Linked DNA regions of Arabidopsis thaliana. The protein of the gene in region 3 purifies or fractionates together with the protein of the main gene of each other region. This does not show direct contact. Each region holds a gene or a part of one and is shown on either strand. Other genes may lie near its edges. The genes, in order: MDAR1, AT1G57720, PDLP1 and EMB2719.

The links.
Region 1: the proteins of PDLP1 (region 3) and MDAR1 purify together in Arabidopsis thaliana (affinity purification with mass spectrometry, with the first as the bait; one study listed by BioGRID). This does not show direct contact.
Region 2: the proteins of PDLP1 (region 3) and AT1G57720 purify together in Arabidopsis thaliana (affinity purification with mass spectrometry, with the first as the bait; one study listed by BioGRID). This does not show direct contact.
Region 4: the proteins of PDLP1 (region 3) and EMB2719 purify together in Arabidopsis thaliana (affinity purification with mass spectrometry, with the first as the bait; one study listed by BioGRID). This does not show direct contact.

Annotation. Positions count from the first base shown.
Region 1 is NC_003074.8:19,599,001-19,607,123, forward strand, and holds MDAR1 (monodehydroascorbate reductase 1), read right to left. Parts: upstream 5,455-8,123; 5' UTR 5,367-5,454; coding exon 5,316-5,366; intron 4,995-5,315; coding exon 4,899-4,994; intron 4,739-4,898; coding exon 4,667-4,738; intron 4,540-4,666; coding exon 4,488-4,539; intron 4,383-4,487; coding exon 4,302-4,382; intron 4,141-4,301; coding exon 4,022-4,140; intron 3,931-4,021; coding exon 3,711-3,930; intron 3,632-3,710; coding exon 3,513-3,631; intron 3,322-3,512; coding exon 3,196-3,321; intron 3,102-3,195; coding exon 2,961-3,101; intron 2,801-2,960; coding exon 2,477-2,800; 3' UTR 2,213-2,476; downstream 1-2,212. UniProt on the Arabidopsis thaliana protein: Catalyzes the conversion of monodehydroascorbate to ascorbate, oxidizing NADH in the process.
Region 2 is NC_003070.9:21,374,181-21,382,140, reverse strand, and holds AT1G57720 (Translation elongation factor EF1B, gamma chain), read right to left. Parts: upstream 4,822-7,960; 5' UTR 4,421-4,821; intron 4,407-4,420; exon of another isoform or gene 4,318-4,406; 5' UTR 4,269-4,317; coding exon 4,260-4,268; intron 3,985-4,259; coding exon 3,835-3,984; intron 3,757-3,834; coding exon 3,696-3,756; intron 3,603-3,695; coding exon 3,550-3,602; intron 3,439-3,549; coding exon 3,337-3,438; intron 3,199-3,336; coding exon 2,712-3,198; intron 2,407-2,711; coding exon 2,027-2,406; 3' UTR 1,762-2,026; downstream 1-1,761. Other genes in the region: AT1G57730 (RING/U-box superfamily protein), read left to right, coding at 759-1,283. UniProt on the Arabidopsis thaliana protein: Probably plays a role in anchoring the complex to other cellular components.
Region 3 is NC_003076.8:17,693,216-17,700,115, forward strand, and holds PDLP1 (plasmodesmata-located protein 1), read right to left. Parts: upstream 3,476-6,900; 5' UTR 3,244-3,475; coding exon 2,472-3,243; intron 1,742-2,471; coding exon 1,602-1,741; 3' UTR 1,465-1,601; downstream 1-1,464. Other genes in the region: SUVR2 (SET-domain containing protein lysine methyltransferase family protein), read left to right, coding at 5,239-5,490, 5,601-5,657, 5,746-5,784, 5,869-6,130, 6,243-6,900. UniProt on the Arabidopsis thaliana protein: Modulates cell-to-cell trafficking. Required for systemic acquired resistance (SAR) which is mediated by the signaling molecules azelaic acid (AzA), glycerol-3-phosphate (G3P), and salicylic acid (SA).
Region 4 is NC_003070.9:6,998,862-7,007,088, forward strand, and holds EMB2719 (PAM domain (PCI/PINT associated module) protein), read right to left. Parts: upstream 5,572-8,227; 5' UTR 5,450-5,571; intron 5,315-5,449; 5' UTR 5,294-5,314; coding exon 5,215-5,293; intron 5,122-5,214; coding exon 4,931-5,121; intron 4,740-4,930; coding exon 4,599-4,739; intron 4,510-4,598; coding exon 4,373-4,509; intron 4,272-4,372; coding exon 4,217-4,271; intron 4,129-4,216; coding exon 4,018-4,128; intron 3,651-4,017; coding exon 3,411-3,650; intron 3,061-3,410; coding exon 2,548-3,060; 3' UTR 2,226-2,547; downstream 1-2,225. Other genes in the region: EXPA11 (expansin 11), read right to left, coding at 1-207, 314-635, 720-849; AT1G20220 (Alba DNA/RNA-binding protein), read right to left, coding at 6,229-6,320, 6,401-6,634, 6,754-6,810, 6,918-6,974, 7,092-7,166, 7,254-7,318, 7,444-7,518, 7,649-7,737 and 1 more. UniProt on the Arabidopsis thaliana protein: Acts as a regulatory subunit of the 26 proteasome which is involved in the ATP-dependent degradation of ubiquitinated proteins.

The DNA.
Region 1 (8,123 bases), on a different chromosome or scaffold from region 3:
ACATGACTCTTTAAATATTTCGATCACCCACCGAAGTATAAAACTGTTTTTCCTAAGGAAATTTATGTAGAACACGAGGACAAATGTGCATAGTATAATTTAAAATGATAATTAGTATATCGATGGATATAGACAATTTGTCCGACGACTACCTAATTGTTCCACTACGTACAGCTTGCAAAATTTTGTTTGTTAGGAGACCTTGAAGTACTCCACGAGATTTACTCAAATAAATTAAGCGTCGTAGATTAATACTATCTGTCAACGAATATGAGGAGTCACTCGTTTTTTGTTAAATAGTTCTCGACCTCATATGATGACTAATAGCAGCGAGTCGCAGATTTCTAAATTAATGGAACTAATTTACATAAGTCTACACAGGCTGAGTAAAAATACAATGTACATTACCTTTTTCTTTTTTTCTTTTTCTTTTTTTTTGGGCAAACAATGTACATTACCAAAACTGAAAAAACACAAATTCGTTGAAAGGGTCAATAAAATCGGCTGATCAAAAAATAATCTGACCAATCTAACATAACTTTTAAAAGCGTACACGAGTTTTGTTACTTTAGTAGGTGTTAGTTTAGTAATGAAATGAAAGATTTGTGTCATTCTATAAGTAATTTCACATTAATTAATGCATGCAATAGTGAACTTGGTTATAATTTGGCCCACAGAAAGATTTACTCATTTAACCATGAGAAAGACATGACAATATAAAATAAGGTGTTCTTTAATTAGTATGTCTATAACTTTGAGATATATACAAGAGAATTGTAAAATATATACGCCTCCATTTCTTGCATTATTTAACTGATATCGAAGGATGCTATGCAACTTACTTTCCACCAAAAGGGATTCACATGAATTTTTCCTAGCACATTTCAAAAGTTTCTAAATCTGCTATTCAACTACTGCAAAAGTCTCTAGCAGACGACTGTATCTACTACACATTTGGGCATTCAACTAAATACCACCACGCATCTTAAACTTTTCCGCATCTTATATAAATAATATTGTTTTTGTCTATCGGTTACAAGAAATTTAAATCTTAGAGGATAATGATGATGATGAAAGATGTGATCTGAATAAAAACGTTTCAGAAGATAAATTTCTTAAACACGATTAATAACCTTGAAACTGAACTGATCATAGATTTGTAGTACTTGTTAATTCTGAAAAACGTCATATATACACACACACACACACACAAATTACAGCTATTCGTCGACTAATAAAAAAAAAAATTACAACTTATATTCTAAATAGTGGATTAGGTTGATTGTTCTTTTAAGTCATAAATGTCCCACCATATTTGTTGTCTTTTTATTAGGGGGGAAAACGTAGACACATAAAATCAGTTTATTCGTCATCCTCCTCACAAATTAAGCATATCACACAAAAATAAGAGATATTAAATGAAAATTTTGGTTGTGCTTCACTGTCTTATTTATTTCCAGTTTACTTTAAATTTAAGACGAAGACCTAACACTATGACCTCCATACTTAATAGAGTTTGCCCCACCAACAAACTTTATGAATATGCATCTTGCATCACATCTTTCGTTATGCTAATTAATAACAGTTTGGCTCATCACATGTGAACATACCCAACGTAATTCCCATTACTTTAAAATTATGAATCTGATCGTAGCGTTTATAAGTGTCCAAACAAGTTTTCTTTCAGAGAACCACAAAGTTATACTATTTAAAACTAAACCAAAAGAATTACTAACAAAATCGAACAAAGAAAATAACTTAAATGCAGTTCAATTTTTGCTAAGTTTTTGTTCAATCTTTAACCAACAAAAAGAGAAAATCCAAAAAGCGAATCTGACGCTCATAGTATTTCATCTTTTCATTCACATTAATCAATATTTGCTTTCACAATCCCACATTATAAATAACATTATTCCTAACTAATATATTTAGAATGAGTAGATTTAACTGAATTCCACTCTACGACTGGAAATAAATTTGATTATCACTAGCAAAAGGGACTAATATCATGTTAAATTTATGAATTTCTAACTCAAAATTTTCAAGTTTTCTTCGGTTTGTGTATATATCAAAACTAATTCTAAGAAAACCTAGTCGAGCCGAGGACATGGAACAATGAGAGATGTCCAATTAAAGATCGAATTGACATTTCAAGGGTCGTCCAATGCCCATTAGAGTCTACGAATTACTATTTCAAGGCCCATTTGCTTTCATATTGTAAATTACTCCCTTCATTTGAGATTACAGTAAATGTGGTTTTGGAGTTGTTCACATTAAGAAACCAAGACAGATACTGAAACACAGAAAACCAAACACATGATCTAAAATGTGAATGTGGTTCAGGGTTTCCTCTGCCGTAGACTCTTCTCATGGAGTTTAGAGAGACAATACAAACACACAACTTATTATAGCTAAACAAGTTTTTATTTTAACATAGAAGAGAAAACGTGAGTTTGTTTTGGTGGTTGTGTTTCACTCAGATCTTAGCTGCGAAGGAAATTCCTTGTTTCACGAGCTCGTCGAGACTCTCTGCAGAAGGTCGAGCTTTGGCGACTTTAGCCAAGGCTTTGTTCTCATCACCACTACCTCCCTCCATGAATGCTCCAACCACTTTACCACCTTGAACCCAATATGCTCCAAATCTTGGTTTTGGGTTTGATGGATTGCTGTCTCCAAATAACACAGAGTCTCCTACGTTGTCTCCGTAGAACTGCCATGAGAGATCAAAGGAGCGAGAGTAGAAGAATGGAAGATAGTCGTATTCCTCCACCGCTGCGCCTCCCTCAGCCGCTTTGATCGCCTGCCACAATGTATCACATATATAAACGCTTCATCAGATATATACAACTGTATGTTAATCTATAAGATTTAGGCCTCAAGAGTTTGCGTTGCATTTTTTATGGTATGGATTAATAGGGTTTTGGTGTAGCGATATCAGCCATATTGTAAGCATTATTTACCTTAACAGCTTGCTCTGCTGATTTGCGGGAATGGTCAACATGCTCGACCCTTCTCACGTCTCCGTACATTTTCAAAGGGAAAGTAGCAACGTCACCAACAGCGTAAACATCTGGAACACTTGTTTTGAAGAATGCATCGGTCTGTGTGAAACAGTTAAGCAGTCAATTTAAAAGATCCAAATCAGAATGGTACGGGATAAGAAGAAGAAGAGACGCACAGGCAGCAGATAAATACCTTAATTCCACCTTTATCTTCCTCGACCTGTCCCTTGAATAAGGATGTCAATGGTTTTGCACCAACCCCAACTATCACAATGTCGGCTTCCAATGTCCTCCCATCCTTGAGTTGTACTTCCTTCACCTGGAGGATTATATAATACAAGTAAGACATTTGCAACGAGACCATTTGGAAAAGCTAATTAATCGAGTTCGTCAAACGAAACCAAACCTAAACATAACATTGTAATTTGGTTTTAGACTTTAGTTTCTATAAAATCAAACCAAAACTTAAATTGGATTGCCCACTCTATTAGCTAATGTTTCTTTGATTACCTCTCCATTTGGCTGAGCTGTGAACCCAGATGCCACTGTTCCTTTAATGATCTTCACTCCCTTGTTTGTATAGTAAGTCTCATAGAAAGCAGCAATATCGGCGGTGAAAAGCCTAGGCACTGCGTCAACATTTTGTTTTCATTACGTGTAACAATGTCATATATTACATGAATAGCAAAAGGATACTAGTCAACTTACTGCACCAAGGTTCAGGGAAAACCATAGTGACATCTAAATTGTTGATCCTTAAAACTGCACTAAGCTCAAGACCAATGTAACCTCCGCCAACAACTACAGCCTTTCCACCTTTCTTAGCTTTAATTGCTTCAACCAATTTGTCGGCATCATCAATCTCTCTCAGATAGAGGATATTCTTAGAGTCTGCACCTTTTACTCCAAAATCAGTCAATCTGAGAACCTGCAAAGGAAGGTAAAGAGTTACTTTCTTCTTGTAATAGAATTCATAAGAAGCATTCTGATGTGAGAAATGCAAGTATATCAGTCTTTACAGTAGAACCAGTTGCAATTATGAGCGTCTGATACTTGAAGACATCCCCAGTTGCACTGACAAGACTCTTGGCAGAGAGATCAGCTTTCACTATTTCTGTGCTTAGTATCAACTCAATTCCTACAAACACAATGGATAACAAAAAAATCATAGCACGATTTAGTTCCAATAACATAAGTAATTAAGCTTGTATAGAGAGTAATGTAATGTTATAATAGATCAGTGGGACTACACAGATGAGCAGGGCATTGATATTGGTGATGTTGCAGACAGTTCATTACCTTTCTGCTTGTAGGATTCAGGAAGCAGTTTTTCTCCACCACTACCAACACAGCAATGGAAACCTGGAAGTCTAGCAGCCCCTGCAACAAAAAAAGATTATCATAAAAAGCATAAACCAAAGCCAAGTTTCAGCAAATCAAAATTAAACGTTGTAGTTAGCAAAGTAAAGTAGAAAATTGTCTTACCTTCAGGAAACAAATACCCCTTGCTAAGTGCAGGGCGTTCATATGGAGCCACCTAAGCCACCATATAGAGTAAATAAGGTGTGAGGATTAGAGAAGACAAGTCCACATAAGGATCATCATATCATAGGTTACAAGACACACTGCATAATCACAGTTTTCCAAATCGAGAGGAAGCTTACCGCCTCTTTCGAGATAACAGCCAATTCTCCTGGTTGAACCCCTTGATTGGCAAACTCCTTAGCTGCGTATCCCTACACACAAAAATGGAGAAAAGGATACAACAAAGGTTAAGAGTTGAATTTGCTTCTGTATTTAGTTATTTCTTTGGAATTTTCTTCATTAACATCTGTGACTATACGATTAATCTGAGCTAGTATAAACTAAAGAGGATCCTGATGATACTATGCTTACTATTAACCATCTGCAAGTGATTTTGCAGAGATACACTTTTCTCACACTTAACAACAACAAAAGAACTAGAACTGAATCGGAAGTTTTTAAGATGCTCTGTGCAGAGGAAACCAGATTACATCCATGTTTTACGTCGAAAAAACAATCAATCAACATACGATTGTTTGATTCAAAATCAAGTTTCGATTGTAAATTCATCTCAACGATACTAGAAACTAGAAGCAGAGCCGCCGATCTGACGTTTAAATCTATGAATCACAATCTATAATCATCGTAATCGCTATCTGATTAACAATAACAAACTCCAAGCCAAAAAAACTACGAGAATTGTGGCATTTCGCAACACAAATCGAATCAAGCTCTTCGAAAATCGAAAGCAATGGCTGAAAAAACTTAAGGAGGAAGGAAGATACTCACGGCAGAGACGCCGCCGCCGAGGATGATGTACTTAAAGCTCTTCTCCGCCATTTTATCCGATCGTGTGAAAGCGTTTTGTTATCTTGTCGCTGAAGTTGGTTTGTTAGAGAAGCAAAGAAAGAGCAAAAAGGCTAATATGAGCTGAGTGACTCTAATTGGCTAAAACTTAACCAAGACTTGGCCGTTGATTGGAGGATGTAGATACAAAGCTTACACGTGGCAATATTGTGACCGTTGAATTTATCCAACCGTCGTGGTTCATGCTATATGTGGAAAGTAAAAAGAATTAAGGACGGAAATAAAGGACTGATTGATTCTTAAGTCTTTTTTAATTAACCCGAAAAATAGTTGGTGGAAAAGTCACAAATGTGCCACGTTATTGGATAAGTTGTGGAAAAGTCCACAAATGATGGGTTTTAGATTATTGGGCTTCTTTTCCTGACCTCTTAAGGCCCAAAATAACAAAATTCAAGAAACATGAAGCTTAGTCCTTCGACCCACATGATAACCCATTTGACCATCACATGATTAACAATTCGACTAAAACAACCATAAATTTTGATTTATCAGCAATTATATTTGTAAATAGGTTTATTACTACAATCTGTACGTAATAAGTATCAATCTTTGAAGGAACTAAAATTTACACATTCCCATCCAAGACTATAGGCAGTCACAATAACCCATTTGGATGAATGCTCATTTTTATTTTTAATTGTTCAAATTTCAAAATACTGTGTATAGCTAAAAAATCGAATTAATAAGTGAAGGAGAAAAAATTGGTGGAGTGGATTAGATGCATACAATGACAAAAAAGCCAAGCAAGCCTTTTATGGGGGTGTGGCCTGTCGACACAAACATGTGAAACCTATACTTGTTGCCTTATTCTCTAGCTTGTTCTCTTTCTTTTTATTTTTTTCTTTTACCAAATCTAATTTGATTACCCTATATATCTCATCTTCCTCGGATTCTCATTTCTCAGATCTTAGTTCTTATTGATATTGTTTTGTTTAATAGTAGTTATCAAGAATATACATAACTCGAATCATTTGTCGTTGTGCACCGTTGTTTCTTGTTCGCCGTCCACGCAATAATTATAAACATCCATACCTAAATTTTATATATACACATCATGAAATATTGCGACAAAGACATTTAATCTAGTGGCTCATAGTATTAGTGCAGTCATTGCATCATAACTTGGTATAAATGTTTGAGATACAAAAATAAGTATATATATATATATATAATAGAGTTTAATCCGCGGTACACCGCGAAAATAATTTATTTTTTAAATTAATATATATAAAAGTATGGGTACTTTTTGTATTTTGTACACTATTAATGAAAATTCACATTTTAAAAAATAAAATTGAATGATGGTTCAAATTGATCTTAAACGAAAAAATCTGGGTTCCATCAATCGTTTTTCTTGAAAAGATGCAAAATATTTTTAAAAATCGAATAAAATAATTAGCAGGACCATTGATATATTTAAATATGCGCATGCATATGTTTGTATAATAAAATCTTTTGATGTTGATGGTTGGTTTAAGTTAAATAAGAAATCAGAAGCGGACGTAACACATCTAATTTTTGTGTTAGTTTAGTGTTTACAATATATTTAATGGGGATTAAAAGCATGAGGGAAGAGATTAAAGGCGCAGAAAGAGGAATCCTAGGCTCAAAGGGTTCTCAAAGACCTATCAAGTCTCTATTATTTCCTAACACCACGTTCCAACTGTATGATTTAGGCTTTTTTGCCAGATTCAAAAGTACTTTGTTGTTATTAATCTCGATCATGTATCATTAAGTTATGTTTCTTGATCTTATGGTTACGGTTGTATATTATTTGATTTTTCCTATGCATTTTCCATTAGACTCTATTTGATTTTTCCTATGCATCTTCTATTAGATTCTAGTTCATTCTTTCTTATTTTTTTAATTCATTTGTCTTGGGTGGCTAATGAAGCAATAATGGTTTTTAGTTTTTATTTGAGATATTTGTAATTAATGATGCATATAATTTACTGTTTTACGTGGAAAAACGTATTCTAATTTCTTGTAAATTGCAATCGCATTGTATATTGTACCGAGGAAAAGGATCGATTTGCCTGCGTGTGTATAAGCTTTATCAACGAGATCCAAAGTAATCTATATATGACCCATTGACCTACCATCATACACAAAGTCAACACACCTAAAAATGATTATGATCATGTTAATCTATTACCGCTTCACATACAATTGATAAAACCAAACTAAAACTAAAACTAAATATAAATACTATAAACTAGTTAAGTAACCCACGAAAAAGTCTCGGCTTGGCTATAAAAATGCAGTCACCTTCCACTTTTTATTATCTTTCTGATAGTCATTCTATCAGAAATATTTTATACATTAGACTGATTTGTAGTATTTTCGTCTGCTTAAATTTGAACATATCGTTCGTTAATCATTAATGTTTCCTAAGTTAGTAACAGGCCTAATTCTTAATTGTATGTTCAATACTTTTATCTTATGATCTGATGTCTGAACTTTGAGGTAAAATGGTACTAGTATAGTTCCATAGTTATGAATTTGAAAGACTGATTAAAAATATATATTCAAAATACATATCAATCTACAGTGTTCTTTTTTTGTTTGCTAAATTATATGAATCTACAAAATAAAAACGTTATTTCTTCGAAAGAAGTGTTGTCGAAAAAACATTTTGAAAAGAACTGCGCATTGGCTACCTGTCTTATTCTGACAATATTGCTCCACCGTTATATTTTAAAAGCATTCACATCTATTTTTATCTTCTCA
Region 2 (7,960 bases), on a different chromosome or scaffold from region 3:
TGGTTGAGAAGATAATCTTCGTTGTAAAGCCACAATTAAGACTATGTTTTACTGCACAATGACAAATAAGAGAAGGTTTTTACCGACAGGATTAACTCATACTCTGAACAGATTATACTGTGCAACAAAATCATTACCTATACTTTGTCAAGAGACAAGAAGATGTTGCTATTGCAGGATTTTGCACTGTTATGCCTCTCTAGCTAACATTGCAAACATATATAGCAAATTACTAGGTTATAAATTTTCTTAATGGTCTAAGAACCCTGAAGTTAGCAAAGCCAGGTGCTTTCCCCCAAAAGAACACTGGCAATCTCTGTCTATGCTTCATTAAAATTAAATTAGTGATTTGGATTTATTTGGATACTTTTAAATTTTATGGAGATTTAATTTGATTTGAGATAATTTTGTAGAATTTACTAGTTACAAATCTTAGTGGTTATGGATGTCGAAAAAAAAAGATGTTACAAAAACCTACGTAGTTATGATAACTAGAGATTTTATAATATTTAATTGAGAAGCTAAAAATATGAGGTTAAAACCAAAAAAAGGAAATTGTAAAAACAAAAACGAGATTACAAAAAAGGAAATTGTAAAAAAAATGGAAATCGCCGACTTAAGGTTTAGTTATAAAATTAACAACAAACACAAGATCACTTGTCAACAACATTCATCACAACACAAAGACCATCACTTCCTCTCTGCCTCCGTCTCTTGTTCGGTTTCATACCTTTGTCTTCTAATTCCAAAAACCAACAATGGTTCCAGAAATCACTATTGATGTTAACGTCTTTCCGAGTCCACGCAAGTCTTCATCGAATACAGTGGAGATCAATCTCAAGCGTGAGAGCGACGACAAGTGTGATGATGCTCCTCTGTTCCAAATCACTCAACTTATCTTAAAAGACGTCGTTAACTTTGATCCACACAAGACCTCTCCTCTCCTCGAAACAATCTTTCCAGACAGTATCTCAGGCACTCGTCTTTGCGTTGAGATGGCTTTAGCATCCGAACGAGTTCCAGCGCCGTTTGACATGTACCTTCACGTCACAGTGAGATTCGTCGAAGAATCCACTTCTAGTTCTCCTCTAGAAAACAAGACATGCGCTATTTGTTTGGAGGATATGTCACAGGATGTACATGACTATCAGGAGATGCCGAATTGTCCCCATGTCTTTCATAATGACTGTATCTACAAATGGTTGGGTCATAGTAATTTGTGCCCTCTCTGCCGCACTGTTCTTGAAGATGAAGATGACGACGATTATCCCTACTACTCCTAAACAGAGTCATGAAGATTTCTTTTTTTAGGGTTTTTAGGTTAAGAATGATGATTTGTTGATTTTCTTGAGATGATATTGTAATGATTCGATTTGTTTGAGATAATATAGTAATGATTCGATTTATTTGATTTTCTTAAGACAAGATCTTAATCTACCTTTTGTTTATTTTGGTCATTAAACTCTTTGTAGAGAACGAATTAGGTTTACTTGGTATATCTTCTCATCTTAATAAACTTGAGTGATTTTAAGCCTCTCGGACCTAATATCTATGAACATGTTCAACATACACTCTCCTTATAAGCTCACCTCATGGCTCTATTTCTTACACCTATCTCTTAAATGTTGCTGTGTAGACCAACATTCGATTGGCTTAAAAGGAATTTGGGTTTTAGTGAACATATCTGAATCATCAAGTTAGAGACGTGTTAGAGACAAGTTAGAGACGTGTAATATTACAACTTTAAAATGAAATTCAGTATGCCCCATTAAACGAGATTCTTTGCATCTTCCAAGCAACTAATTTAAAGAGAGAATGTCACACACACGAGTTTGGATAATAAAAAACAAAATAAAAACAATAACTAGAAGTTGTAATGTATTTAAGAACAATATTCTGTCAAAATAACATTGAGAAGCAACTAGTTCTTAAACCCGAGTACGATTCAAAAGGTGGTAAGGACTCTCTAGAAGGTATCAAAACACGAGTAACAGAGTAAACCTCTACGGAGATACAAAGAGCCTTTTCACTTAAAGCATTTGGCGTCCAAAAGAGCCTCGCCTTCAAATGGCTCAGCGTCTTCAATCATCTGGCTAACACGCTCCTTCTGTGCTTCATCGGAGATATCAACCTTAGTCCACTCGTACAGCTCCATGTCGTACACCTCATCCATTATGAACTTGGGGATCTCTGGTCCACGGAAAAGCCATAAACCCTTCACCTTGAAAGGACCCTCTGACCCGCAAATAAGCATCTTTCCAAAGGAGTATTTACGTGCCAAGTCCATACGCTGAAGGAACCCTCCTACCTTGTTGAGTGTAACAAAGGAGACCATGTTCTCATCGTTGTACTTATAGTCACAGAACCATAGTGAGTACCCCTCCGGGTCATACATGTCCCAGAATCCTGCAATGAAGAAAAACATTCAAGGCATTGAGCTTAATAGAATGTACTTTCAGACTCTGGGCCATACATGTCCCATAAACCATAGTGAGTACCCCTCTAAGTCTACTATATCTAGCTTAGGAGGCAATTTAGTAGACTAGAGCAGCTGTGAATTGTTTAGAGAGTCGTTAGTAAGCACTGGTATTATAAGGATGTCACAGCACATTGTCTCGGATTTTTGTAGCTTTCTTCTTAACAAGTTGATTCCATAAACCTAGAACAATTTCTTCTAAAGAACAATTAACAGAAGTCATCATATAACATACCTTTGATAGCAACCTCACGGAAGTTGGATTTGGTGTTCGAGTAAAGCCTCTTCCAGTCATCGAGAACCATTGGGCTTGGTGGTAGCAAGTCAAGAGGATTCTTGGCTTTAGGCTTTGGTGCTTCCTCCTCCTCAGCAGGCTTTGGTGCCTCTGCTACAGGGGCTGCCTTCTTGGGCTCCTCCTTGGGCTTAGCAGGCTGTGGAGCTTTCTTAGTAGGAACTGGAGGGACAGCTTCGGTTTGTTTGGCATCACCCAACACCTTCTTGAATTCTGGCTGGTTAACCATTGTCCAGAAGTATCTCTCAACATGAGGGAATGCAGAGGTAAATTTCTTGGTCATCACGGTGGCAAATCCCAAGTTCAAGTTGCAGATTGTGACAATATCAGCAAGGGTGACAGAGTGTCCAACAAGGAAAGTGTTGGAGGCGAGATGTGTGTTCAGAGCCTCAAGTCCTCTCTTCAATGCAGAAATTGCCGCTTCCTCAGCCTTCATTCAGATAAAACCATTAAAAAGATTAGTCAAGCTTAGACTAGTCAAATACTAATCTTAGCGAGTAAGGAGTAGCATGATTTGTTAGTACAGAGAGTGCATGAGACAAGGCACAAAAAATGAGGGAAAGCTTACTGGGGCAGAGAAGGGAGCATAGCCCATTCTTGGAGCAAACCACTTCAACATGTTAGCATCAATCTCCAATGAGGAGAAATCGATCCATTGCTCAATGTGAGCCTGAAAAGTAAACACATGCACATAGACATGAATCAATGATAGTAAACAAGAGATAAACACAAAGGTACGATAATTTTAAAAGGAAAGGCCATTGGATAAACAGGAGCTTACGTATTCAATAAGGGAGGATCCATTCAAAGAGTTGTCACCATTCTTACGGCTCACTGAAGGGGGATAACAAAACAATCATCATATCCAATTAATACCAAGTTATAGATAGGTGCATCAAAGAGAAACAGAAGGAAATGAAGTTATACCATATCGGGCAATGGCATTGCTCTCAAATATGGGACCTTCAGGAGTCTCAAGCACAGGAACCTAGTGGGATCATAATCTTTTATTAGCTAGGAATTTACAGCAAACATCAATCAAAACTTCTCGAAAGAGATTCCATACCTTTCCAATAGGGTTCATCTTAAGGAACTCAGGTGACTTGTTAGTGACGCCCATCTGAAAGTCTGCGGACTCCTCGATCTTCACACCCGCATACTCTGCAGCAATAAGTGCCTTATTGGCACCTTTGTTTCCCTTGTATGTGTGCATGACCTGATAAATAGTATGATTTACACAAACTTCATCAATGAAACTCAACAGAAATTGCATAGTTATATTCATCCAAAGTAGTTTTTCAATGCAACACAAAATCCAGTTCTCAGATTAATAAACAATCGTCCAAGATACCTAAATCATTCTAAAATCAAACTATATTCCCAGATTTAAGATACATGAATCAAAATTCATAAACTATCATCAACAGATCAGTAAAACCAATCGTGACGGATCTGATGAAACGTGTAATGATCTCAGAAGTGAGTACTTACCAACGCCATTGCTCAAACGGAGAAGATATACGAACTCGGAGATTTTCTGAGTTCAGATCTAGTTACCAAAGAAAACACCAAGTAAAAATCAGTTAATCGTCGATGAAATTTTGAAACGAGAGAAGCGTATATGAAGAAGAAGTTGATAGATTGATTCTTACGAGAGACTTTCTGCAAAAACAATTCCGAGAGAGCAAAGCGAGAGAGAAGAAGATACAAAAGCGGCGGCGAGAAATAGTATTAGAGTGTGGAAATTAGGGCTGTGTGAAGTCGGTTTTGGAGAATATTCCTTTTTCGTTTGATTCGGTTTAGCTTTTGGTTTTGTCAAATTTGGTTTGCTTATTTTTAAGGTTTAAACGATTATAACTTTTGCATTTATGTATAACATAATAAAAATTAGCGTATTGTTTTACCCAAAGTAAAGTTGGAGTTTTGTTTTTGCATTTTTTGACAGATTTTGCTGACATTTCCCCATGGCCATTTTGATATGTAGTTTAGTTGGTTGTATCCATATCCTTGGTGTGCCAAACTCGCATGTTGTTGAAAAAGAAGAAAAAGAAACACTAGTTCATCGAAATTCGTAGAAGCAACCTCACAAAGTTACTTCTCTGATTCATGTCTCTATGTGGTTTCTTCCTCTCCAAGATATCCTAAACGACAACCAAAAACAAAGTTTTAGACCATACAAACTAAACTTTAAATCCGAAAATGATATATCCTTTTTAAAAATAAGTTGTGTTGTGCTTTTTAAATTCAAAAGGGTTATTAACTTATTATGCAAGATTGATCCATAGATGTAAACTAAAACGTTACCACGTACAATGCCAATTAATATAATTAGGTTTTTGATACACCAACTCCAAGTATGGGTTTGAATAAATACAAAATTGATGAATTTTGTAACCCTTCTTTCACTTTGTGAAAATGAAATAAAATCTTTTAATTAAGTAGCTTCCAAAACTATTAGAGGGCATTATTGGTAGGTCCACTAAACTATGTTATTGTTCGTATGTCATACATATATAGATGTTTTTTTATTGAGTTCGATTTCTTCTACGAAGTTTACAAAATTGGTTACCTTCCACAAGTCTTTGCGTATCATTTCTTCACAACTTACTCCTTTTGGTCAACAGTACCAACAACTTTAATTTCAAGCATCTTCCGCCTCTTCTTCTTCTGCACTGCGTTTACTTTGTGTGACCAAAAATCCAAACTAAAGATATGGAGGTTCCAATCTGGCAATGGTGTTTGATCGTCATAGTGATCATATTCTTGGCAATTGCTTCCCATTTTCTGGGAAGAATCTTGTGTAGCCCTCGAGAGAGAATCGCAGATAGTAAAGCCGAGAAAAAACATGGACCAGCCGAAGCAGACAAGACTGCGAAAGGTGGCTCCGACCAACTCGTGTGATGATCTCAAAGAGCATGCATATATCGTCAAGTTTGGTTTGTAATTTGTAAGTTCATTTTTTTTTTTACTATTATTGTAAAATAATACTAATTGTTCACATCCATATATACATATATGCGTAAATATATATATGTGTGTGATCAATTCCAATTTAAAAAAAAAGAAGCATTGGAGAGAACACTAGTAAGCTCTTAAATTTGTTTTCAATTAGTCATCAACTCATCATCAAGTCTAAGAAACCAAAATGTAATTCGGGTTTACAACATTGCATGGTTAGCTTCATATTATGGGAAATTAAACTTTGATAGTTAGACCAAAAAAAACAAAAAACGTTGATAGTGTTGACCTTGGTGATGGAAATCAAATGAAATCAACTTTTAACCGTGGGTTGGCTATGTGCATATCGGATTAGAACCGATAATTGAGCTGCTGTAGACTCGCTTTAGGTTTGGTTTAATGTCCATGTTATGTTAAAAGGCTGTTATAATTGTTGAAACAAAGTTTTACAACAACCAAATTAAAAAAAAAGTTGTTGTAACAAAGCATGCTATAAAAAGGTAGAGCAAGGATCCATCTTGTGTATGATATATATATACATTTTAACATATGTAATTTCGTGTGAGAAATTCAGTTACTGAGAAGATAGTGAATTGCAAGTATTACGTAACGTAGGGATCTCAATCAAGTCCCGAAATCGTAAAAGCCTCACGTCTTTTCTTCTTCCTATTTCTTGGATCCTCTGTTCTTGTTCTGTTTTTCTTTCTTTGGTGGTTCTTGAGAGATTGAGAGAGTGAGTGAGTGTGAGAAATATTAAGTCAGAAGGATAAAATTCGATTCAGCTCCGCATATTCGATTGACATAGTTTAATTAAAACAGTGGAAAGATTCATGCAGCTTATAAAAAAAAAAAAAAAAAACCAAGAAATACTTTGATATTAGGTGATCAACGAATAATCTGAATATTGCAGAAAATATGATGAATGTTATTTTTCTTGAGCTTGCAAGCAGAATTTGAATAACTTTTCTTCAATATTTAGGGTTTATATTCCACATAATTTGAAGGCTTTTGTAAAACCTAAAAACGTACTATTTACAATTTTAGATTTAGCTTCAAATATGTAATAGTAAATCTTAAGCATGTTGCTAAAAAAAAAAAAAAAAAAAAAACTTATGCATGTAATTCTTTACATTGATGTATATATATATACAAAATATATTCATATGTTACAAAAAGAATCCTAATACTGTAAATTCATGATTTATCTAAAGATTTGTTGCTTTACTCAAAGATATTTTGTTTCGAAAAGAATATGGTTAATTCATGATTTATCTAAAAAAATTTTGGTTTACTCCAAGATCTGCAGTAACATAATGGTTAATGTATCTCATTGATAATTGATTGCCAGGTTTAAAGCCCGATAGAAAATATCTTTTTTTTAATGCGATAAAGAATCATGTTTCATAAAGAATCATATGTTTCATAAAGAATATTGCAAAAATTAAAATTAAAAAATTTCTATGACAAATTGTGTCAGGATCATTAGCAGTTATGGCCCGATGTTAATAGGAAAATTTTGGCTAATCCAATTCAATCTCTAATATACTAGATTGATGGTTCATGAAAATCTTTGGGTGTTTTCAAGGAAATGATCAAAGGGTCTTTCTTGGTGCAAAGTGTCTTCGGAGGTGTCCCTCCTCCCTACACTCGGAGATGAAAGTTTTAATTTGGGTTATGAAGAATATCCTTTCAAGAAGGATTGATTGTAAGGCTTTTGAAACAGATTGTTAGAAGTTAGTCTTCGATGGTGCAGTCTCTTGAAGAATGACCCACTTTATCCAATCTACTAGATGAGTTTAGAATGCTTTGTGTGTTATTTTCCGGTTTCTCGATTTCTTATATTTCTCGTTTATATAATTGTAAGGTGGATTGTTTAGTTCGCTCTTCTCGTTTACTGCTTTCGGAAATTTATTTTATAGACTATTTCTCTCCAAATTAGGCAATCAATCATGAAGTTATATTTTAAATAATTTGTGGTTGATAAAAAAAAAGATTTATCTCAAAATCCGTTGATTTATACAAAGATCCGCTGTAGCACAATGGTTAAAACAGCTGTCTAAACATCTGATTTCCGAGTTCAAAGCTCGGCAGTGGAAAAATATTTTTCTTTTTAATTTTTTATATTAGAATGAAATTGAAAACGCCTCACTTTTAATGCAGTCAAGACGAAACTAGTCTCTCGATATCTGTTTTAATGAGAGAGATAGAAAAAGGTTTCTAAACTTTAGTTTGAG
Region 3 (6,900 bases):
TGTTTTACGAGTTTTTTTGGTTATATGTTGTTGTTTGAATTTGAATTTCGTATAAGAGTGGTTTAATTCACATCGTTGGATTCATAAAGTTCAGGCTTTGTTGTTTTATATATTATCTTGAGATTGATTTGGCAATCAATAATTCTGGTTTCTCGGATTCATCATTCAGTTGAAATTGTTTCTATTGCAAGAAGTTAGTTAAATTTAGCATCTTTAGGCTATGAAGTTGATTCCATAGAGTTCTCAAGCGTCTAAGTATGGTTGATTGTCACTTTGTATGAATGGCGATCATCTACTTGAGAGCTATGGAGTTGGAGTTTTGTACAAGTTTGGGATACTTCCTTCTGATATGTTTGTGTGTGTGTCCTGTCTTGGTTTAGAGATCTATATGTAAGATGATTTGTGTGTGAGTCCTGTCTCCTCTTGGTTTAGGAAATCATGTTCAGGTTCTAACTTAAGTGATGCTAGAAGCGTATTCAATGCTCTAGAGTTCTGAAGCTTGTTTATATGGTTAATTTTCACTTTATTTGAATGGTTCTACCTTTAACAGACTAGTCTTCTTCTAGTTTGTGGTACTTGAGCGATGAAGTTTGAGTTCTGGGATTAGTTCCTTCTGATATGTTTTGATGTGATTGTCAAATTGTTATGTGTTTGTTTCGTTAAAGGGTTTAAGCTGAAAGAAGATATTTCAGCTTATGTCTAGGGTCAAAGATGAAGTCTATCACGTCTCCTCTTGGTTTGGGAAATCATGTTCATGATCTAACTTAACCATAACAGTGGTGGAAGAACAGATTATCAGCCGTCAAACTGTTTTTTTCTTTGAAACATACCTAACCCGGTTTGAGTATTGAGTAAAAGAACGGTCATTGAAGTTCCATGTATTTGCTGCGCCTTGCAAATTTTGAAATCAATCAGAGTTACAATCTAGTGTAGAAAGATTTTTCATTTACCATAATCGTGCATATCTTTGAATAGTGTCACAATCACTTTATATGCTATAGATAGAAGTTTTATAGATGTAGTGAAATGTATAGTTGGATACTGTGAATCTCACTAACTCCAAACTTCCAAAGTGAGATACCAGTAAAGCTTCACTCTTTCCCAATGAAAACGACTGAAACTGGATTTCACTAGAAAAAGCTGCTGCTTTACTTCTTGTTAGTGTTTTCTCGTTTTCATCAATTTTCTATTTTGATGCTTCATTTTACTTTTAATATTTTGTTTTCAATAGTGGGTATGGTTTTTATCTGATCTAAATCATTGGAAATAAATAGAACAACAAGTATTAATCAGTAAGTTGAGGAATCACTTTCATCTTTCAATGGGCAATTAAATAAAATGAAAGATTTGAAAGAAATTAGATACTAAGTGACAGAGAGACAAAAGAAAAAAATGACAAAATTAATCCTTCATTATTCCAATAGCTTAATAAATATTGTATTTATATCATCCAAAATTTTCCAAAAAAATCAAAATTTATTTGTATTTAAATCAATATCATAATTGAATATACAATTGGACATGCTATACTAATCATTTTTCTAATATACCTTGTTAAATTTTTAATTGGGAAAATAAGAATTGGTAGGTAAAAATAAGAATCAATAAGCATCATATTTATTACTCTTCTTCTTCATGGCAGACCTCAAAACCAACAAACAAACAATCACAAACCCTAAAACAAAAACTCCTCCCACCGCCAAAGCTATCGTCCTTTCTGTGTGTTGTCTCTTCTCTCCACCTACACACACACACAAACACCCATTAATGGCCATTCCCATTATAATTACTTATTTCAAATTTTAATTATCAAAGAAAATTAAATTAAAAATATTAGCTAGCCTCACTCACATGTAACCTGAATGATGTGTCAATATTCTAACATTTGGAAAAATCTCTTCTTTTCTATAACGAAGTAATCTATTTCCCCACTAGTTTTTCGGTTTTAATATCTTCTTCCACTACTAGTTCTTTGTTTTCGTCTTGTCTCCATTAGTTTTTGTTTAGTCTACTTGACAACGAAACTACATAAAGATATACACATTCTTATACGAGATTCATGTGTGTGTAACTATCACCGAACTATTAATATTTGTATACAAAATCTAACACTCACTATTATTCGATTAAATAACTCCTTACCGTAGAGATAAAATATGTCGCTAAAATGGAAAAAAGTTTTTTCATACTTCAACTAAAGATACATATATGTGTTCGATTCATATCAAGTATATTACCGTACTAATTCATACCTCAAACATAAACAGTGATACCAACTAATTATATACCAATACTACTAAATTCCACCATTTTTCTATTACTCTGTTTCGCGCTAAAGTTTTTATTTACCGTTTTATGTTACCAATTCGACCTATACGATTAAAACTCTTTAATAAGAGAACTAATTTTCTAATCATCTGAAAGTATTATATCAAAAGGAAAAATATAACAGTGATTTAATTAGTGTATACCTGATAATGGCTCTATGTTGGGAACACCATGAGAGTAGTAACTATAGCTAACGAAGCACTTCTGAAGGTAAACTTGTCCCGAGTTCGACTCTCCACACTCACTCTTTGCTTTCTCAAATCCATCTTTCACACATTCCCCACAATCTGAATTTCCCAAACTACCCTCACACTGTCCCAACACATACACCGACTCATACTGCCCCGCGTAAAAACCTCCTCCGCCACCACCACCACCGGATGATCCAGTTTTCACGCCGTTCTCCGCCATACCAAACGCCGTCTCCCTTTTCCCGACAAACCCAGGATCGTTAGAATCTTTTTTCCCACAGACACGGAACAACATCTCCGTACCGGAAGTTTGCCGGAATCCTGAACTCTCATACCGGATATAACATCCAGCGAGGTGAACACGAGCCGCCACCACATTACCGTCATCTCTGCCGCCACCGCAGAGTTTAGAAACGAGTTTAGGGATTTTGGAGACGCAATCGTAACACTGAGCGTTTTGGAGATCGCCACGGCACTGAAAAACACCGATCACGGCGGTGGTGTTATCAGTTCCGGAGGTTACGGAAGCGAAAGAGCTTTGTGATGATTGAGAAACTAAAGAAGTGAATAAGTTTTTGAGATTCTGAGAGAAAACACCAGTTGGGTCTGGAGATTTCTGATTTGCACAACCTTTAAAGATCAGATTTTTATAATCATCATCACCGGAGATTGCAAAGAATGGTAAAAAGAACCAGAAGATGAAGAATTGATAGGTGAGTTTCATAATTGAGAAAGACAGAGAGAGATTTTTGTTTCTTGATGTTCAAAATCTTTTTACTAGTTTGTTTCTGTCTAATAAAGTTTGTGTTGTTTTTATGTGTCCGGAAAAAAGAAAGTTTTCCGTTTTTTTTTTGTCTTTTGTTTTGAGGTTTAAAGACAAAAAAATGTAAATAAGAGCAGGTTTTGTAGTATGAAACCATGAAAAATAAAGGAGTATACTTTTCTTTGGATCTTGCTTCAAGGGTAAGATAAAAAAGAAAGAAACTTTGAGACGACAAGTGTTTATTATATAGATTTGGTTTAGGAGATTATGTAATACAGTATCAAAAAAAAATGATTACTGTTTCTTCTTTTTTGTTGTTGAATTTAGTGAATAACCTTTAATGCCATTAAATCTGACTTTATTGTCTGAATTTGGATTTTGTTTTAGGACATTGATGGAAAAACACCTTTTGTGTATATGTATTTTTTGTTTAAGGCACTAAGATATATTTTGATGAGTTTGATTTAAATTGTAGGCTGATACGAGAAGGAAAATAAAATCTTAGACCTTGTTGTAAATGTGAATGATTGATTCGATTTTATTTTGTGTCCAAAACAAAACAAAACATGATCGTTTTGAGTTTACATAATTTCAGAACATAATTGCGTAGTAACTGGAGTAAATAATAATAAACCTGTGTGTTTTTGTAAACTACAAAAGATATTATCACTATGATTATTTTGAGTTAATGATAAGCATGATTGTTTTTGCAGGATTTTGGATTTCACATTCTATATGATATATTTTGAGTTGGTGAGTGTGGAAGATTTGTCAACAACCCTTGATCTCACAAGAACCAAATTGCCTTTGTGTGTTTGGATTATAGCTCTCTTGGAACCTTTGTTGATGTATTTTACCTATGCTTTTGCTTACCTTTTATGGTATTGGGGAATGCCTATCTTTGTTGTATGTTAAAACTTTGTGATCTTAGAATCCTTCTACCTTTGTACTTGTTTTCTCTTGTAGATGAATGAAAACAAGCATTTGCCCAAAAAAAAAAAAAAAAGATTGCTCGGAGAAGTAGAGGTGTTCCCCAATGTTTCAAAATCATTAAGAGTTAAAGACTACAAAAGGAAAGAACTAATACTGTATACTGTAAAAGATATGTGAAACTCTTAATTAAGTATAGATTCCCTATACAATATTAGTGAATAATTTTTATAAAATAAGGTTACCAGAACTGCCTGCATTGGATTTAAATACCGGAGAATTTGAGACATACATAGTTACATACACATGATAGTAGTAAGATCAAAAACAAATCTTAAGAGGTCAATAAGATTCGCTTATTTATTGAGTTTGACCCGACCCAATTAAGCCCGGCCCATTAAGCAGAGAAGAAGAAGAAAGAGAGAGGGTCAACAAAAAGTCACAGTCGAACAAGATACTGAGAAAGAAACGAAATTTCACCTGGCACTGTCCTCGCGTGTACTCTCACGCGCCGACGTAATACTCTGCCGTCGTCACCGACATTGTCTCTACGCCGTTGTCATTTGCTTATTACGGCCAAGATTCTTCACTAAGTAAGTCAAAATCGTGGAATCCTTTCTCTGTACCGAGCTCGCTTTAAACCCTAACCCTCTCGTCTCTGTACTTAGTAAGTTCTTCTAATTTCCGACGAAAGTCTTCTCCTTTTTGAGTCTCATCGTCATCTGAAAACGCTATTAGCTCTCTGGAAGAGAAAAAACAACGTTTTGTTAGAGTTTCTTTGTGCGATTGTGTTTTCTTAAGAGGAAAGGTTTCAACTTTCTTAGGATATTCAATTTCTGAGTCTTTTCTGCTACTTGTGGTTAGTCTTTGCTGCTAGGTAGATGTCTGTAGTCTTGGTTTGTTGTTGATTTGCTTTAGGTCTGTCTTTGCTTATTGTTGTAATGTTTTGAGTTCTGGCCACATTTATTTCCTTACTGAACGGCTCTTCACATCTTGTTTCTTCCGCATTTTGATAGGACGAGGCAAATGAGAAGTTACAACTTGTTTCACGAAAGCAATCCCACAATCAGTTTTAGTTTTGTTGGTGCAGAAACGATGGCACCTAATCTGCATATCAAGAAAGCATTTATGGCTATGAGGGCTATGGGAATAGAGGATGCGCGAGTGAAGCCGGTCTTGAAAAACCTTCTCGCCCTTTACGAGAAAAACTGGGAGTTAATTGCTGAAGACAATTACAGGGTTCTTGCTGATGCTATCTTCGATAGCCATGAAGATCAGGTATCTTTCTTTGTTCTCTCTTTGATCTACTGTTTTTTTTTTTGTAAATCTGTTGTAATCATTGTCTTTGTTATTACCTTGACATTCCATATTGATTTACTTATATAAAGGCTATTCAAGAAAGCGAAGAAAAGAAGGCAGACGAAGTTAAAGAGGATGAAGGCTGTGTATGTTTTTTCCAAACAATCTTCCATTTATTAGTTCAATGTTGCTTTATTATCCATGCTTCACTTTGTTGTTGATCCAATCTTTCAGGCCGCAGAAGTTGACAGAGGAAAGAAAAAGCTCCATGAAGTATGGCAAACTGAATATCTTTGCTGTGTTAGAGTAATGTGTCTTCATGTTCTTGTTTATTCAGTTTCTGTTGTGTAATATCAGTCTATCGAGGATGACGAAGATGTTATGGCTGAGTCTGATCGCCCTTTAAAGAGGCTGCGACGCAGAGGTGAAGGAGGCTCTGCTTTGGCAAGCCCTAGCTTGGGCAGTCCGACTTTAGAGGGACCTTCAATTAATGACGAAGAAAATGCTCCGATCCTATTGCCATATCATCCTGTACCAATTGAAAATGACCATGATGCTGGTGAGCTCATTCTTACAAAAGTCGAGCCCATTACAAATATGCCTCTCAGTTCTATTCCTGGTACTTTTTTGTAAATAGGAGTAACTAAATCTTATTTGCATTGCTCATTTTGTTGTTATGATTGTTGAAGCTACTTTCTCCAAAACTAATGTGTCTTGTACGTTTTCTGTAGATTCAGTAGATAGAGGGGACTCTTCCATGCTTGAGATAGACAAATCAAATGGACATGTGGAAGAGAAGGCTGGTGAAACAGTAAGTACTGCTGATGGTACTACCAATGACATTTCTCCTACAACTGTTGCGAGATTTAGTGATCACAAGCTAGCTGCAACCATAGAAGAACCTCCAGCACTTGAATTAGCTTCTTCTGCTTCAGGCGAGGTGAAGATTAATCTTAGTTTTGCTCCTGCAACTGGAGGATCAAATCCCCATTTACCTTCTATGGAGGAACTACGAAGAGCAATGGAGGAGAAGTGTCTCCGATCATACAAAATACTGGACCCCAACTTTTCTGTGCTTGGTTTTATGAACGACATCTGTAGCTGCTACCTGGACCTGGCAACAAACGGGAGAGATTCAGCTAACCAATTGCCAAAAAACTTGCCGTTTGTCACAACGAACATTGATGCATTGAAGAAATCTGCAGCAAGGATGGCTTATACTTCTCAGGCCAGTAATGATGTTGTTGAAATCTGCAGCAACGAACATATGCGTGATGCTGAAAACGGTGCAGTTGGTGATTCCATGGCTTTGGTAGTTGTTCCTGAATGCCAACTTTCTGCAGATGAGTGGAGATTGATAAGCAGCGTCGGGGACATCAGTCTAGGGAA
Region 4 (8,227 bases), on a different chromosome or scaffold from region 3:
AAAGAGAGAGCTTGACCATCTAGATAAGCATTCGATTGCCAATTAGCTCCCCAGTTACGAGACATGGCTAACCAACCAGTCTTTGATCCTTTGATGGATACAGATTTAATAGAACCTGCTCCTCCTACATTTTGAATATTCACTAGCTCGAAGTAGTCTCTTCCGTTTATTCTGAATCTAACTCCTCCTTTCTTGTAACAGCTTACTCTGTTTTTCCCAAACACACAAAAAACACAGAGCTTTTCGTTAAGAAGTTTGAACAATTGCAAAATAACAGCTTACTCTGTTTTTTGGTCTTTTAAAAAGTTCTGACCTTTGGAAAACGACGGGAACGATTCCTCCTCTGTAAATTCCGATCTTTTCCCAAGCGGGTTGTGCCATGTCGAAATGTTTAAGCGGCGGATTGCACCAACCACCGTTGTTGTTAGGCAAAGCAAAGTTTGGTGGGCAAAAGTTAGTGGCTGTAATAACCACAGAAGCTCCTTTCAAGCACCACCGTGAGTCCGCCGCGTGATCACACGTTATCCTATAGCATTCTCCGCAAGAAGCTCCGTCGTTGAACAGAGCCGTGCTTAACGCCGCCGTCATTGTCCCGTACCCCGCCGAGTAAAGATCTCCGTAACCACAAGCTCCACCTGGAAAAAAACAACAAAAATAATTTCGTTATTTGAACAAATCCATTAGAGTCAGATCATAATGAAACTAAAGTGTGAAATTACCCATTGTTCCAGAAGCGTCACTTCCTCCATAGAATGTAGCGTGACCATTAGTTAAACCAGAAGGCCTAAACGCATCAACCGCAATAAAAAGAGCGGCCAAAACCGCCAATCCAGCTAGAGACTTTGACATGATTATGACTTTTGGAAGAAGAAAGAGATGATGATGATGATGATCGAGTGAAGGAGGTGAGAGTTGTTTAAATAAAGGTGGGAAGCGAGTGTAAACTAATGTAGTATAGCAACAAAAACCTTACATGTGGTCTTATCTTTATCTAGCCTGTGTGTATCTTTAATTTATTTATTTGGGCAAATCTCTTACATGTGTATTTTTGTTAGTAACAGTATAAGTCCAAAAAAAGACAGTAGATCTGCAAACTCTGTTTGTAATAATGCTGCAGATGGATTTCTATTCCTCCAAAAAGTTCATACAAAATTTACCTTTGGTTACACTAATATTGCTTTGAACTATATATAAACATTTTCCTCTGAAATTATATAAGAAAAAGAGACTTGAAGCAGATAATATCTTGATTTACTCATAGCCAAACATTTGTAATCCTAAAGTTTTGTTTTATTGGTTGATGCAGCATTTTTTTTTATACATAAGTTAAAGTTATTGTAAGATTGCAAATTTTAAATCAGCATGGTCATCAAAAATTCAAAACTAAGAGAATAATCATATGGGTAAATGATTTCTTGTGCAACGCGGTGGATATTTAATTTTTGCTTAAAATGAATAAAGTAAGACGAAAGAAAGACAAATGAGAGTTTTTTGTTTGTGATACAATCATGTGCAGGTTGGTCTGAGCAGGTTCATCGGTCACAGACTCTCACATGCTCACTTGTCCTACATTATTAGCAACACGCCAAATCTCTTTCATTATCATTATGATTATTTTTTTGGGTTAATTGTCCCTCAAAACTTGATTTCCAATCAAAGTTGATGAAGATCACCGTCACGACGTCGTTTGTTACGAACACTTCCGTCAACTTAACACTTGTTCGTTGTCACCAACATATGAAAAATCGTGGACTGCAAAGTCTGCAATCCGAAATCCAGACTACACTACCAAGTAACTTCCGCAGTAAGAAAACAAAATATGGATACTGGATACAACAAGATTAAGGAATTGAGGAGCTTGTTTGGATATGATTAGAGTGTAAGAATATATTGACCCATTACAAATCTACAATTATGAAAATTACATTTTGATTGTATGGATTAAATAGTTGGCAGTTGTAGCTATCAAAGAGCCCGGGTATTATTCTACAGATTTTTGTCATTATTAAGAAGTTAATGAATCGAACCAGAAACACCTATAATTAAAAGCATAACATGAGATTGTTTTATTCAAGAAAATGAGACCTAGTTTGGCAGAGATAGACTAATGTATCAATACACATAATGGTCAATACACATGTCCTGTTTTCATTCTTTAGATATTTATGACTGCTTATCTATCATTTAATGTAAATTATGAATGTGGATTTTAATGGTATGCATCGCCTGGAGATGATAGCATTTCACATGGTCAATTTCTAATAATGACCCACCTAATACAGCTAGCTATAACTACAAGTGTTCAATTCTTAAAATGCGAAAATCTCCCAAACACAATTAAACGAAGTTGAATTTGATCTTCTGAAACCAACAAGATAAATATCTTTTCCTAAAGTGAAACCAGAGTAATAAAAAGGTTCCTGAGGATAAAAATCCTCAATAAAGAAACACTTAGAGACGATGAGAAGAGTACCAAGTAAACTTGTGAACATAAAAAAAGTGAGACAGATGGAGAGTCAACTCTTATAAGAAATAGATGACCTTTGTCTAAAAATCATCATCGTCTTCCTCAGCCATATGCTTAGCAAGCTCTTCTTCCTGTTGCTTCCTCTCTCTCCTCTTCTCATCGCTTTCTTTCTCCTTGTGAGTGTTAGGAGGAAACCTCAATGCTCTGACAGCTTCGTTATGCATGTTGAGGCAGAAAGCAATTCTTGAGTTGAACGCAGTTTGTGGCTCATTCGTCGAGTAGATGTCCCCAGTTTCTTTGGAGACCATGCATCCGTTTTTGTGATCGATTGTAGCATCAATAGCTCCGTCGCGTATGGCCTTTGCCACGATGCTTTCCGCATCAGCCACAGGGTTTTCAGAGTTGAGCCTCAGCTTTTTGGCAACATCGGGTAAAGAGATTCTTGAGTAGGAGATACTTATGTTCCGCAGTCCAGTCCTGATGACATTGTGGCGGAGTCGCACGATGAGATTGTGCGTTCTGTCTTGAGCAAATGTGTCCAAGAACTTCTCCTGGACTGTCCTAAACAACTCCAAGTCCCCAATCCTAACCGCCTGTAAAATCAAAACAGAGCTTTAATAGTAAGCCTCAGATCAAAATCAGTATCAACTATCCAGTTGCATCATATATCTCTAAAAAGCAACAGTAAACAGCCAGAAATTCATGTTCAATATAATTCGAAGGAGCAGAAAACAACAGCAGCAACAAAATTGTGTTTCAAGTGACCACAGAGAGATTTTAACAGAAGAGGTGTATAGGCCAGTAAGTGAAAAGTAGGAACCGGTTTAAAATCAGAAGTGAAGTAGCAAGATCACAAGTGACCACATACTAATACCAGTTTAGTTATCCGCTCATAAATTAATGAATACATGTCACAGCAGCAAGATTATGAAAGTGGACTCACATTTGTTAGCTCGAAGTAGGGTCTGAGGGCCTTCTCCATACCCTTTTGAGTGAAGATAGAACGCTCTGGTATCTCACCCAGCAGTAGACGAACCAGAATTGCCCATTTATTGCATTGGATCCTGAAGCCCAAAGCTGCTATAGGGGCTTTCCTGGCCGCCTGAAGAAGGCTCTCTTTTGCGTCCGTATATTCGAGCTGAATAGTACGAATCTTCCCGAGATAGAAAAGGTACCTACAAAACTGCAAAGTATAATGTTTTAGACAAGTCATCTTGCTGTTTATTCTTTTGAAACAGTAACAATTGAAGGGTTAAAAAAAGAACAAAATTCATATGTAGCAAAGAAAAACACAAGGTAGATCGATGGTAATGGTAAGAGGTGGTGTCAGAAGTATGAAAAGGACAGGCAAAATGGACACTTCAAGTAAGTTCGGCAAATAATTAGTGATTGAAAAGAAAACACAAGAGCCTCCTAGATGGAAAATGCTATAGCGAATAGAAAAAATAATTCTCTGGAAAGATTGCAGAAGTGGCATTGGAGTTTTCATGCAAATATAGAATCTAGAGAACCGAGAAAACTTAGAGTATGAAGGAATAGCCAAGAGCTACCTGTTGGTTTGAATGAGCCTCAAAGCGAGGTGCCTTTGATCTTAGCTTCTCTGCCTGATCATAGAGGTTGTAATGCAAATAGTTACGTAGCAACAGGTTCAGAAGGGTTTCCTGCATTCAACATGATAAATTTGAATAAGAAGCAAGTAACAGTTTCAAAATAATGAATGCCGACTGAATGAGCTAAACAAAGACATACCTGACCCAGCTCATCGTGTCTTAGCGTTGCAGAATGATGCAACGCAAGAAGAGTACTGCAGGTAGAAAAAATGACCAGATTATTAACTATTGAGCTACTGATTAATATGAGGTGTAAGACAAAGTACAAAACTAAAACAGTCTTTGAGCTACTAACCCGCGAATTTCAGCAAGATCACCGGTTTGCTCATAACTCAAAGAATAGTAAAAGTAGAGTCTTGATGCTATCACATCAATGGTCCTTCGGTTGACGTTCTTGAGACGAGCAATGCTTGCTGAAGAACAAGCTTTAGCCTAAGAGATGATTAAAAGCAACTCATTAAAATTAAAATCACAACAGAAAAGTAACTTATGACAAAACACAAAGATACAGCAGTAGTTACCTCGTTGTACTTCTTCTGATCAATCAGAAAAAGAAGAACAATGAAGTAGCAGTAGATCTCGAGCTCTGCAGGTAGATGCTTAGAAGGAGCAGCTTGTGTGGCCGATGAGGCAGTATCAACTTCCATGTCATGTTCATCACCCTAAACCATTAAAAGTTCCAATATTTCAGTCTCTAAGCCAGTTGTATGTTAGATAACTTGCCATTCACAACATCAAAAGAAAGTATAACAACCATAACACGAATCTAAACAACCTAAAGCCAGATGCTAAAAGGAACAACCAAGTTGAGAATTCTGAAACATCAAAGTGAAGAAGTAAAACCCACAAATACCTTAGGAACAAAGGAAGAGAGGCGAGAGTGAGCTTCGGATCCTGGAACCAAAGCAAAATCCAGGAAGGAAGAGAGCACAGAGCCGGTGAGTTTCTGCCTAAGCCCTATAGTGAGACGCACAGCACGAGCAATACGACGAACCTCCTTCGTGTAAGACCCAGTATCGATGAGTGCTGCAATCTCCTTCAAATCTGGGAAACAAAGAAACAAAGCGTCAAAACCCAGAAGAAACTTAGCAATTATGAAAACAGTTCGAGAATTAAAGCATTCAGATCGAGATTTACTCTGCATAGTAGAGGTAGAAGAAGAGATAATCGATTGAGAAGGGGTGTTGTTATCTTTCATCTCCACGTCCTGAGTCATCTTTGCACAAATCTCGTTACTCTTCACAAAGACAAAAACAAGGTTAGGGTTTTTGCAGAAGTATGCAACTAAGCCGGTGAGATTTCAAGGAACCGATTGAAGTTTCAACCAATTTGTTGACTGAGAAAGACGGAGAGATAAAGACAGAGAGCTTACTAAATCGATAAAACGGAATTCGCCGGGAGAAAGTGACGATGATGGATCAGATTTAAGGACGAGCTGATGCTGCTGAGACTCTTTTCTTTCCTAAGTATTTTCCTTTTTTTGGACACAACAAAAAAAGTATATTTCTTTTTGTTCAAGACAGCTTTTTTCCATATTAGTATTTATATCTTCTACATTACGATTGAGCAACAAATGTCGTTGTAGTATAGTGGTAAGTATTCCCGCCTGTCACGCGGGTGGCCCGGGTTCGATCCCCGGCAACGGCGATTAACTTTTTGGTTACTAGTTTTGTTTGGACCTCTCTCACTTATTTTCGTACGCTTTCTTCGAATAGCCCAAAACACAACCAGCGCAAGTTGGGTTAATTTCTTTTTGTCTCAAAACACGTTGGAACTTGGAATTACAATTTTATTATTCATTATTTTTTCTTGTTATCTTTTTATGTTGTTAGAATATATAATCAACTGATATACGAACCAATGGAAAAAGGCAATGCCAAAGGGGGTTGTTTACTTGTTAGTGTCAATACGCCGACGAATGTAATTGGAGTCAAACAAATATCCAAAACTCAAAAAAGAGACAAAACTAGAAAACTCTTGAAGGAATAAAAACTTGAAAATCCAAGATCCATGATAAAATAAATGAGGATATATATAACCTAAAGCGACATGAACGAAAGATTATTCTACGGCAACAAGTTGCTTTGAAGAACAGAGACAAAAACATGAGAATGTAAGAAAGATCCAACTTCATTCAATGACCCTGGTCGCTCATGCAGCAGCCTGGATAGGTGCTCCATTTGATCTGTTGAATCCACCACGGCCTCCTCCTCTTCCACGACCTCCCCTTCCACGGCCACGTCCTGTTCCAACAATTTTTAAACATTTACAACTCATCATTATTTAATGAGAAAACATTAGTGTAACAAAATCATCAACGTACCACGTCCCTGAGGCGGAGGACCATCATATCCATGGTCTGCTGGAGGAGCAACATTGTTGTATCCATAGTCTCCTCCATCTTGTTGAGCTTCATAGTAAGGTGGTGGGGGGCCATTGTAACCTCCTCTTCCTCGACCACCACGTCCACCTCCTCTCCCACGCCCGCGTCCTCTGCCATATGACCGGTCCTGCTCCATACCTCCATCATTATACTCATTGTTCACATATCCACTTCCTGGCAAATCCGAAAGAAGAAATAGCACAAGCCAATCAAACACTTGTCCGCCGATCACATGCAAATATGTTAAAAGGTAAAACTAAGATTTGGAAAGAAATATTCTAAAGCAATTCTACCTCTGCCGCCTCTTCCCCTTCCTCCATCATCATACTCATTGTTCACATATCCGTTTCCTGGTAAATCAAACAAAAAAAGAAATAGCACAACACATTCAAACCCTTATCCACAAATCATATGCAAAAATCTATACTCAAATACGATTTGGCTAAAGATATCCTACCTCTGCCACCTCTTCCCCTTCCTCCATCATCATACTCAACATTCGCAGGTCCATTTCCTGATAAGTCGAAAAAAGGAATTAGCACAGTCCACTCAAACGCTTATCCACAAATCACATGCAAAAGCTTACAACGAAACTACGACACTGTATAAACAATTTCTAAAGTAATCCTACCTCTACCACCTCTTCCCCTTCCCCTTCCTCTTCCTCCTCTACCTCTTCTTCCTCCTCTGCCTCTAGGAGATCCGTCTACAAGAAAGAGATAATTTAAAAACTTAAAAAAGACAGCAGGGCAGGGAGCTTAAAAACGTCATTAAGAGTGAGACTCTAAAATACCTTGCCCTTCGTAGTCAATCTCAGCCAATGGCTTCACCATCTCAATAGGAATCGGACACTGGTACCTATAGCATTATTTAATAAGATATATTAGCATTGGAGACAATGTACCTCTCTAGACACAAAACAACAAAATCCCCAATAAGAGAATAGACGAGAAATAGCAAAACAACCAGTCCTAGAAACTCACCCAACTGAGGATGTGTTCAACTGCTCCTTGGAAAGTGTTATGGTTATCATCGACACATGCCTCGTGGTCTCAATTCTTCAGGAGAAAAAGATGAGTTTTAATAAATAACAGGTCAAAGTAACAAAATTAAGAATACAACATGGTTACATGTGTTCCGGTACACTTAAAACAATAAACTTGATACTAAAGTCTAGTGACCACATACGTTTGAAGGCCTTCCTCTGTAGGTTCCCAGGTATCTGTAATGTCCGTTGATCCAATAGATGTGATCTGATGAAGACCAGGAATCCTTCTCTGCATCAAGGATAACAATATAATCTTCAGATACACAAAAGAACTACAACTCTGAGATCAGGAAACAGACTAAAACCAGAAAATACCTTAATCAGCTCAACTATGGTCACACTCTTGTTGATAGCTCTTCCCATAGCCTTGAAGATAACTTCATTCGATTTGTTTTCCTATAAGATAACAAAACAACTTCCGTTACAAAAACAAAAGTTTCAAGAAGAAGCAAAAGCAAAATTTCTATGTCAAAAAATCAACTAATCACATGACTAAGTACTAAAAAAGTTTGAATAGCAAGCAGCGAGAAAGTAATTAAAGAAAACAGTTAATCAATAACTTGCACTTTTGAGAAAGCAAATTCATGTACAAGTTTTCTACTAAATCCGACACGAAACGTAAGAAATTGATATAAATCACCAAGATGCATCCAAATAACATAAATGCAACTGGATTATGAAACCGCATTTTTTGAACTTACAATTATATCATATAGATA